Linked DNA regions of Oryctolagus cuniculus. The protein of the gene in region 2 interacts with the protein of the main gene of each other region in a biochemical or structural test. Links are inferred from orthologs where the notes say so. Each region holds a gene or a part of one and is shown on either strand. Other genes may lie near its edges.

Region 1 (3,567 bases), on a different chromosome or scaffold from region 2:
AGATTTTCTGTAAGATTTTATGGGAGCAGAACTTTGAGGCTGCTGTTTATTTCACCAAATTATAGAACCCAAGTCAGTATATTTATCAAATCTAATACTAGACACTGGACTAATGCATGAGTATCCACTTCTCCTTAAGTGGAAATAAGAATTATTATTGAGTCACTTATGTGAAGATTCGTGAGAAATAACTCCTTTTATTCTGTATCTGCTGATAGGTGGCTATAGTGCTTCGAAGGTTGAGGGAGCTACAGCTTCAGGAAGTGGCTTCGCGGCTAGAAAGCAAACGTCCCAGCCCACGGAAGCTCTCTTCTGAGCCCCTTCTGCCTCTGGATGAGGAAGCTGTGGATATGGACTATGGTGACATGACGGGAGATGCAGTGGATGGAGAACAAGAGGAAGCTTCTGGAGACGTGGAGATCTCCTTTCATCTTGATTCAAGCCACAAGACCAGTAGTAGAGTGAATTCAGTAACCAAACCTGAGGAAGGAGGACTGAAGAAAAACAAGTCAGCAAAACAGGGTGATAGAGAGAACTTTAGGAAAGCCAAGCAGAAGTTGGGGTTCTCCTCTTCGGATCCAGATCGCGTGTTTGTTGAGCTGTCTAATAGCAGCTGGTCAGAAATGTCCCCCTGGGTGATTGGGACCAATTACACCCTTTATCCTATGACTCCTGCTATTGAGCAGCGCCTCATTCTTCAGTATTTGACCCCTCTAGGAGAGTATCAGGAGGTAAGCTAATTGGGAAGAGTGCTGTTCTCACTTCAGGACTACTTTATATCTAGTAAATTTTATACATTAATATGTTCTTACTCTACACAGAAAAGTCTTTGCTTCAAACTGGTAAAGTATCATGCAGATCACTTCTGCTAAGATCTGTTTGACCAGAATGGGTTTATATGTTGTTCTTCATAAGGTAGAAGGGGAGAAGGGGTGAGATGTTTCATTTTTTTAATCCTCCTTTGTCATAAGGGAATAGGAAATAAGTAAAAATCAAGTCAAAATTTGAGGCTTGGTTTTGGTTTTCATTTCAGTTACTTCCCATATTCATGCAACTTGGATCACGAGAATTGATGATGTTCTATATTGACCTGAAACAGACTAATGATGTCCTGCTTACGTTTGAGGCCCTCAAGGTAAAGTTCTTAAAATTTTCATTCATTGAATATTTTATTGACAGAGAAACACTTTAACGTGTTTTGGGATATAGCATCCCTGGTTTTTATTGCTGAGGGCATTTCTGTTGCTAGATGTGTCAGAATAGAACAGATTAGATAGAAGTGATGAAGCTTACTGAGTGTCTGCATGGGAATTTAGGGGTCAAGCCTAGAGGGTTGAATGTTGAGGTACAAAGGAAGTCTAGACCTAGGAGTGGCCTCCATTATTGCTGAATAGAAATGGAAAATTACATATACATAGAGCATACAACACTTTTTCTAAATTTTTAACTATATGTGTATTGTACAATGTTAGAGTATCCAGAGAAAACAATATAAACCAGGAAATTAATAAAGAAATAGGGACATCCAAACTCAGGAAGGGCAAATGATTTCGTAGGTTGCAAAGGGGCTAAATGTGGGAAGACAGCTAAATCTAGCTCATCAAGAGAGAATTGAGAGAATTAAGCTGATAAATAATATTGTGACTCTCAGACAGTTCTGTCCAACAGGTAGCTATTGAACAAGGCACTATTGAAATGTGAGTCATTAATAGTACTCCTTAAGATATATAACACGAACAACAGTCCAAGAGAAAATAATGGTGTCATTTATAACATACGTTGACAGTATCATTTACAATACATGCTTCCTTACAAAGTATTGATTTGGGATGCCAGTGTTGCAAGTGGTAGCTTCACCCATTGTGTCTCAGTGCCTGCTCCTAACTTGGTAAACGTTGTTGAGTGCCTTTTATGGGCCAAGTACTGTGTTCAAATTTTAGAGATGCAAAGAGGCTGAGGAAGGAAGGAAGGAAGGAGGGAGGGAGGGGGGATGGGAGGAGGGAGGAAAGGAAGAAGGAAGGAAAGAGGGAAGGAAGGAAGGAAGGGAAAGAGGGAAGGAAGGAAGGGAAAGAGGGAAGGAAGGAAGGGAAAGAGGGAAGGAGGGAGGTAGCAAGTGAGCAAGGAAATCTTTACAAACCTTTCTGGTTTGGTTAAGGCAGACATGTCAGCCTGTAATTTCTTTTCAGTGTTACCAGTGTTAGGATAAAAGAAGGGAGTTGTCTTCTTTTCCTGAGACATGATAGTTTGCAGAGAAGACTTCATAGGAGAGAAAATGCTCTCACTGGATCTTTTAAGGTTTCTTTATTTGAAAAGTAGAGTGTGAGAGAGAAAGAGAGCTATTTCTATCTGCTGGTTCACTCCCCAAATGGCTGCAACAGCCAGGGTTGGGCCAGGCCAAACCTGGGAGCCAAGAGTTTCTTTCAAGTCTCCCATGTAGGTGCAGGGGCCCAAGCACTCAGGCCATCCTCCACTGCCTTCAAAGTGTATCAGCAGAAAGCTGGATTGGAAGTGGAGGAGCTGGGATTCAAACTGGTGCCTAGAGGAGATGTGGACACTGCAGGCAGAGGTTTAACCTATGCCACAGTGCTGACCACAGTACAGTAGCTTCTAAGCCATATGTGACTTTGAAGTACCTGAAATGTAGCTAGTGCATTTGAACTTTTTATTTAATTTTAATTACTGTTAGTGAAATTAGTCACATGTGTTGACTATTGCACTGAACAGTACAGTTTTAGAATTTATTGAAATGCAGTAGAAATGAGGAAATATGTCTTTGATACCCCAGAAATCTTAAATTTGAAGGTGGTCAGGCATAATTGGTTTAGCTGCTTCTTGGGGAAGGACTAGGTCAAAGAGTAAAAGGCTGTGTTAGACCAAAAAATACGAGGGAAGGGACATGAATTGTGTATGAGGATCAGCCAGAGTCTGGGTTTAGAGAGAAATTCTAAAGAGGGTATTTACCTGCTGTTTTTGCCATTGAACTTGGAGAGATCTGTATGGCTATCAAACCATGTGATTGCAAATCTTTGTTGTTTGTCCCTGGAAGACACCTTGGCATGGGACACAGGAAGAATGGCTCTAGCTCTCCTGGGGGCCTGTCCTCATTGGCCTGGGTTCAGAGTCATTTTGTGTTATACATTAAAGTGGTGCAGGAGATTAGGTCCACCCAAAGAAACTAGTGGGAATTAAATGGGAAGTTAGCAAAACATAGAAAACTTTTAAGGATATATTTAAAATGCATTGATTAGTTTTTAAAGTTTACTACTTTTGAAAAATTTGTTCAAGATTGTTCTTTGGAAATATATTGAGAATCAATTTAAAAGAAGGCAAATTTTGAGGTTTCATTAACTGACCCAAAGCTAGAACATAGAGCTGATTATAATAGAGAGGGTTAGCAGCAGTTCATTTGGGGAAGCTAAGTACTAATAAAATCACAGCAGTATTTTTCATTTCTTGGTTTTTTACCTTCTTTGAAACTGTTGGAATCTTAATTGTTAGATGCTTTTTGTCTAACCAATATTGGCTTTGTTCTTTTGTAAGGAGGTAGTTGTCTACTTAGAGAACTCT
Region 2 (3,567 bases):
TTAGAGAACAAATTGGCCCAGCTTCTCATTGACCTGCGAGAAGAAAATTGGAGAACTTACAGTGCAGTGTTTTATTGCTTGTCATTGCATTATTCTTTCAAGTTCCAATGCATTTTTTTTTTCCTTTTGGCTTAGTATTTAGAAAAAGCGGCAGTCTTAGAAATCTTATGCTACTAGAGCTTGGGATAAGACTGAAGCAAGAATAAGTAATTAAATGTGCTTTAATTATTTAAGGCAGAAAATAGCACAGTGGTCACTTCTGGCTTCTGCTCTTGGAATGCAGTTAGTACCCCAGGATCACAGAGAACGGAGCTGTCCTATGCTTGTTCCCTTATTAAGCTCAGCATGTGGCCCAATTAACACGGTGATCCAGAAGGCAGCTTTGTGCTGTGCCTTAAGGACAGGGGGGCTGAGTTCCCCGCCTGGCTCGGGAGTTGCCTCCGCATGGGGCTGAGCGAGTCTGGACTGCAGCTGCCCCCTGTGAAATCCAGTGTGTGTGCCCTGTGAATGCATCACACATAGTGCTTCCCTCTTCCGTGAGTCCAGGCAAGAGCAGAGCTCTTGTTGATGAAACCAGAAATGCGGGAAGGGTCTGTGTGGGTTCGAAGTGGGTGAGTGGCCCATCTGACCAGAGGAACCAGCTGCCTCTTTCTGGGGCTTTGTCTCAGGGAGCAGGGACCTGTGTTTATCCTGTCAGCCACAGGGCAGAGTGGGGTGAGGTCTCCTAGCGAAAAAGGGACACGGACAAGGTAGCTATCTCGTACACCTCACGTCAGGATGCTGCCTCCTAGCCAGGTAGGAACTGGGCTTGGGCGCTTTCTGTGGATTCATTCACTAGCATTTTTTTCATGGGGCACCGCTCTTAACTCCGCAGCTGGCTTAGAAAGACAGAGGGTGGTGGGCAGCAGGAATGACCCTGGCTACTTACAATAAAGGGAAGAAAAAGATCACCAAAGAGGAGGTTCTGGAGGTGGGGTGTTCTTGGATTCCTAGAGCCCCATCACTCGGTGCCGCTCTTGTTCCCCCACCCCAGATGGAGCGGCAGCGCCTTGCGCGGGAGAAGCAGATGAGGGAGGAGGCCGAACGCACAAGGGACGAGCTGGAGAGGAGGCTGCTGCAGATGAAGGAGGAAGCAACGATGGCCAATGAGGCCCTGGTGAGTTCCAAGGTTCTGCAGGGGACTTCCCGCTCTCCCGGGGCTCCGCCCACAGAGACCCGGAGTGAGAGCCTCCTCTGAGCTTTCAAAGAAATCCACGCCTTCCCTTTCTACCTGTGTTGGCAGAAGCCGACTTAGGTTGGGTTCATGTGCCGTGCATGAGGTTGTCCTTAAAGGGAGGTTTCTCGGCCTCTGTACCACTGTTTGGGGCTGTTCGTTCTGGGTCATGGGGCCTGAACTCTGCCAGATACCAGTGACACCTCCCTCCTCTCCTTCCTTTTGCAACAATCAAAAATGTCTCCAGGAACCTGGATGGAGTGCCAGACTCCTGGCTTTGGCCTGGCCCAGCCCCAGCCATTGCAGCCATTTGGGGAGTGAACCAGCAAATGGAAGACACCCCTCTCTCCCTCTCTGTAACTACCTTTCAAAATATAAGTAAATAAATTTTCTTTTGTTAATGTCTGCAGGAGGACAGGCATTGGCCTAGCAGTTAAGATGCCCACATCCCAGCCCTGGCTTCTGGCTCCAGCTTCCTGCTCATACAGACCCTGGAGGCAGTGGCAATGGGCCAAGTAGTTGGGTTCCAGCCACCAGTGTGGGAGACCTGCATTGTTTCCAGCTTTACCCAGCCTAGCACCAGCTATTCCAGGCATTTGGAGAGTGAACCCTCTCCTCTCCCTCTCTTCCTCTCTCCCCCTCTCCCACTCTCCTGTCGCTCCCCCTCTTCGTGGAGGAACGACACTAAGCCCTGCCTAGGCTTCATATCCGAGTCACGGCACCATTATGTCGCTCCCCCTCTTCATGGAGGAACGACACTAAACCCTGCCTAAGCTTCATATCCGAGTCACGGCACCATTATGTCGCTCCCCCTCTTCGTGGAGGAACGACACTAGACCCTGCGCTGTTCTTTCGTCTGCTCGGCCCTCCCCGGGTTTACTGCTGGTTCTTCCCGGGTTGGCTACTGTCCCTTCCACCTCCGTGGAAGGGCGGTTCCCCCTGGCCACATTCCCCACTTCTGCAGGGGAGCAGCACACCGCCGGCCGGCTCTCTCGGGGGCTGCACAAGTGTTCCCTTAGATGTTCCTGGTGCATGCCGTCTCTCTCCTCCTTTATAGTCCTCCTCCGCCAATCCCAACTCGGCTGCCCACACGCCGAGTACGCTGCTCTCCTCCAATCAGGAGCAAGTCCTACAGTTTATTGGCTGAACTGGAGGCAGCTGTGTAGAAGCTGTTTTCTTCTCTCCCAGCGCCATATTGTGGGAGAGCAGATGCACAGAATAAGTCCTAATTCCAGTAACAGTATAGTCCGAGTTGCTCCCCACACTCTCCCTGTCATAATGCATAAGACTCAGCTGGAGTAGGGGCTGTAGAATGGCCCTCTTTGTTGTCGCTCCCATGGATTGAGACGTTGGGGGCATGACCTGTCATCTGTTGCCCACAGGCTGCTGGGTCCCCCGAGTCCCAGCTTCAGGTTCTTGCTAAATGACGGCCAGAGGCTGGGTCTGGGTAGAGGATGGGTAGTGACTCCCACTCTCACTGAGGGGCACATTCTCACCAGATGCGGTCCGAGGAGACAGCTGACCTGTTGGCTGAAAAGGCCCAGATCACGGAGGAGGAGGCTAAACTCTTGGCACAGAAGGCCGCCGAGGCTGAGCAGGAGATGCAGCGCATCAAGGCCACGGCCATTAGGACAGAGGAGGAAAAGCGCCTGATGGAGCAGAAGGTGCTAGAGGCCGAGGTGCTGGCGCTGAAGATGGCGGAGGAGTCAGAGCGGAGGTGAGGTCACGGGGTCAGGGGTCGTGGGTGCTGGGGCCCAGCAAGGTGCTGCCCCTGCTGAGGCCAAACTCTCCAGCAACTGTGCCCAAGCTGCATCTGTGTCTGACAGATGAGCAGGGCCTGGCGCTGTTTGGAGGGCACTGAAACACTTCTCTTGCCCAGTGGGCCTCCCTGGTCACGCTGCTGCCTCTCTGATAGGCCGTGTGTGCCGAGCCATTGAGCATGCCACAGGCTGCTTTTAGCTGGAGAGATATGAGGAGACTCTTTGCATTAATAAAAAGAGAGAGAAAAGAAAGAAAAAATGGTTCCTTTCCCTTTTCCTCTGGGAAGGACTCGGGAAAGGCACGGTGCTCAGGCTCCGGGGGACAGTGGGCCCCGCTTCCCTGCGGCTTCCTTGGCAGGGTCCTCTTTGGGGCTGCTGTCTGTTCTTCTGAGAGATGTTCCAGGCCCTGGCTTGTTCTGGGCCTGCCAGGCTGCAGATACACACTGGCGCAATTCCCCACAGCATCTGGCTCTGTGGATTTAGAACATTTGCATTTGGCCCTCAGCTCCCAAGGTGCAGTCACTACCATTTTCCTCACCATTCTGTGCCTGGCATTCTGGGCACGTGGTTCCCTGTGGCCAGTCCTGAGTTCCT
Region 3 (3,567 bases), on a different chromosome or scaffold from region 2:
ATATAGTATTAAAAACAAACTCATTGTATTCCTGGCACGTGTCAATTAACAATTACTTGAATTGCATGACCACAACAGCCTCAGCCCACAACAGCCATCCCAGTCCAAAAACAACAACAGAGAGTCAATGGGACAGTTCCTGGACTGATTTCTTCGACCCAGTTTCACATCCAATGGGACAAGATCATCCAGCAGAGAGAAGCATGGGTAATAACCTCTGAGCATTTTATGTACTATGTTTCTGAAATCTGCTATTTTCCTAGAAATAGATCAATCTACTTTCCTAAGGAACTTGGTTTCCTCAAAAATTACTCTTGCTAGAAGTGATATGCAAATTCATCTGAATATGAAGTGCTGGGCTGAAAGTGAAGAATTTGACAGGAGAATTAAGAACTAGACCTAGCTCCTAGGCGTGAAAGTCATTTCTTTGGAAAAAGCAGCATTCTCAAGACATCTTTGTAATTTACTGCTGACTACAGAGCAAAGCAGTGATTCAGTGCTGATTTCCATTGATACATTGCTTTTGGTAGAGAAATCTGAGAGGTCAAAACTTGATGAGTAATTATGCCAAACAAGTAATGCAGAGGCTCAGAAAACATTATTATTTACTCTTCACACATTTAGAGATAGTACCCAGTGATTTAGGATTTACACCACTCTTGGCCCTCAATAAATGTGAATTTAATGGATGGACAAGTTTTACACAAGATGAAATTCCTGTCTTCTTAAATATCATTCTATCCTATTTCTCTATGAAGAATTTTTAAAAAGGATAGTAAAAAGGATACCAGTTATAGTTTTGCAAGAATTAAGTTTTTTTTATTTTATTTCACCAATTTTTATGTTTCAAAGGAATTTTCCTTTATGAAAATAGGCAACAGCTTACTTGAGATAATCTTCAAAATTTGGCAGTAAGTTGTAGCCATCCTTTCTTAATCTTTAATAAGTTGAATGATTCATGTTCCTTACCATACCAATGAATAGAGTCACTTGAGTTCTATTTATTTTTAGCAAAATGCAAGTATTACACAAAAATGTAACATTCCCAAAAGGAAGATAAATCATTCTAACCAATATGGGAATGGGAGTTTTCAGTCATGGAACTGAATATGCTATTTAGACCCAAATCGTCAAATATGTATAACACAATCCTTATTGAAATGAATTTCAAGAGCACATAACGCTGGGTATTAAGTAACCTCACAATCATCTCCAAAGTGAATCCAACAAATTTGCAGTTTCATTTCTTTGGAACTATGTGCTACCCAAATACTAGTGATGTGATATACCTTAAACTACAATATATATTAATTCTCTTCTAATATGCAAGGCATTTTGGTAACACAGAGATGTACAATTCATGGCCCATGCTCTCAAAGAACTTAAAATTTAACTGGCAAATGAAAATATTTAGCATTCAAATATACTTGACAAACTGAGTCAGTAAGTAACAGATGTGAATGTTGGCAACAAAAATACTAAAGAAATTCAGAGGCCCCCACCCTTCTCCAAAGAGCATCAGAGAAAGGTAGATTGAATCTAATGTTTTGGAAAAAAACCTGAATAGATAGAGAAAGCAAGTGTGGGGAAAGGTTTTCTAGGAAGAAGACTTGCATAAGGAAAGGCATGAGAGAAGAAAAGGCAAACAATGAGTAAGTCTAAGTGGGTGGATCTGTTTGCCACAAAAGTAGATGCCTTTGCCTGGCTAGGTTAGGATACATTACACTGAGTGGCTGAAATGACACTCACAGACCCAGTACACATGTATATGTACCTGGCTACTGGGAGCTCTAATGACATCCAGGGTAGAAAACTAAGTCAGTAAAAGAGCTTTAGAATCAGTAATAAATCTTCACATTGATGAAGAGAAGGAGAGTCTGCTAAATGAATGACTATGTCAAAGGCAATGCAATTGGCTTCAACTCTAGGATGTAAGAATTCCACTAGATGTGAAGATGAGCAAATATGTCATCCACACGTAGAATTCTCTCTGGGAGAATATTCATTTGTGATTTTGATTTGGGTGATCTTACCTCTCTTCGTTTTTGAAATCAGATAGTACAATCAGTTATTTTTATCTTCCAAAGATCTCATTTCTCTCTTCTTTTAGCATGTGCAAGCTGTCATGCTGATGTGGGCATCCCATATTCCAGTAATATCTTCTGGGGTCATTTGGAACAGATTAAATATCCCCAGAGGGAGTAGAGTGGGTGGACTTTGAATTGGAGAGCCAGAAGTATTGATGGTGTTTATGAGTTGCCTGGCCTCTATTTCACTAGACTAGAGCTGTGATAACTATTAAAAGCACATTTATAAATATTTCAGTGAAATTTCTGCACCACTCAGCATTGTGTTAAATTCCAAAGATGCCTCATAGTTGTGTTTGTGGAAAGAATGATTCAGTGGCATCAACCGCTTATGATTTCTTGCCCCTATGTACTTCCTGGGGCCTCCAACTGGGTGGCATGGGATGACGATTTTGTGTTTTTATTTGCATGTTGACTTTATGACATGAAAAGAAACTAAAAGAGACAAAGGCTATTAACACAAAAGGTCTTAAGCCTTATTAACACGAAAGGTCTTAAGGGGGAAGTGACAAAATTGTCCATGTGTACCTGTGTACCTTGTCTTTTCTCCATGTGTCCCATTACATATGTCTTTAAGAAAGGCCATGTGTGTGGAATGGAGCAAGTCAGAGAAGAGCTATGTTTCTGTCTCTTGGCAAAGCTTGAGAGTTTCATCATGTGCTCATGTAAGGTTTTTCTAGATTGAAAAAACACAAACAAAAATCATAGCTTTCCTACAGTGCACCTTAGATGAAAGCCAGTTACCTCTTGTCACTGTTTTGAAGAAAGCAGTGAAGACCTGAACTAGTGCATGCTTTCATTCCTCTTATCCAGGTTGGACTATAAAAATAATTCAGCTGTGGGCTATAAACCACTCTCACAGGTAGTGCTTTGGGAAATCAGGTAATAACACTGATTTAATTCCTTCAGATATGGACTCCAGTCTCAGTACAATGCCTCAGCCCACTTCAGATCCAAACACAGGTTTGGTGGAAGACCTGGACAGGACGGGACCTCTTTCAATGACAACTCGTAAGAATGATGGCATCTCCCTTTATTGACCTGTCTTCCTGTGTGAACTCCTGACCAAGCTTGGTGGTGGAATGGTGCCTTTCTTGCCATGTGGCTCAGCTCAGCCCAGAGTATAAATCCGTCTTCAGTGCCTGTATTCTTGTGGTGTTCCTTAAACCTGATTTCACCTTCATTCTTGGTGCCTTCGAGATTCAATGACTTTATGATTTTTCAGAAAGGGAAGAAGGAGTAGGGGACTCTATTCAACTTGATTACTCTAAGTAGTTATGTCTGTGAAACTCAAGAGCACAGGTGAGATGATGGTTTCTCTATGTTTAAATTGGCCATCTCTTTTTTATTTCCTTTTTTCTCTCCACTTAAGGCAGGACAAGGATAGGATTGCTTTGATGGTTGTGAAAAAGACATTTTTGGAGCCATATAATCACAGAGAATAGGGAAATACCATCAGTCTACAGAGAAGTCATGTTGT

What was found. The genes of interacting proteins can lie anywhere in the genome.
Region 1: the proteins of NF2 (region 2) and DCAF1 form a complex in vitro, tested with the Homo sapiens proteins (3 studies listed by BioGRID, with this or other methods). The link is inferred for Oryctolagus cuniculus from reciprocal best matches to the Homo sapiens genes NF2 and DCAF1.
Region 3: the proteins of NF2 (region 2) and CD44 form a complex in vitro, tested with the Homo sapiens proteins (2 studies listed by BioGRID, with this or other methods). The link is inferred for Oryctolagus cuniculus from reciprocal best matches to the Homo sapiens genes NF2 and CD44.

What each region holds. Positions count from the first base shown.
Region 1 is NC_091441.1:98,112,340-98,115,906, forward strand, and holds part of DCAF1 (DDB1- and CUL4-associated factor 1), read left to right. Parts: intron 1-218; coding exon 219-731; intron 732-1,033; coding exon 1,034-1,135; intron 1,136-3,567. UniProt on the Homo sapiens protein: Acts both as a substrate recognition component of E3 ubiquitin-protein ligase complexes and as an atypical serine/threonine-protein kinase, playing key roles in various processes such as cell cycle, telomerase regulation and histone modification.
Region 2 is NC_091452.1:23,024,524-23,028,090, forward strand, and holds part of NF2 (merlin), read left to right. Parts: intron 1-1,033; coding exon 1,034-1,156; intron 1,157-2,712; coding exon 2,713-2,930; intron 2,931-3,567. UniProt on the Homo sapiens protein: Probable regulator of the Hippo/SWH (Sav/Wts/Hpo) signaling pathway, a signaling pathway that plays a pivotal role in tumor suppression by restricting proliferation and promoting apoptosis.
Region 3 is NC_091432.1:30,785,871-30,789,437, reverse strand, and holds part of CD44 (CD44 antigen), read left to right. Parts: intron 1-70; coding exon of another isoform or gene 71-78; coding exon 79-207; intron 208-2,996; coding exon 2,997-3,098; intron 3,099-3,567. UniProt on the Homo sapiens protein: Cell-surface receptor that plays a role in cell-cell interactions, cell adhesion and migration, helping them to sense and respond to changes in the tissue microenvironment.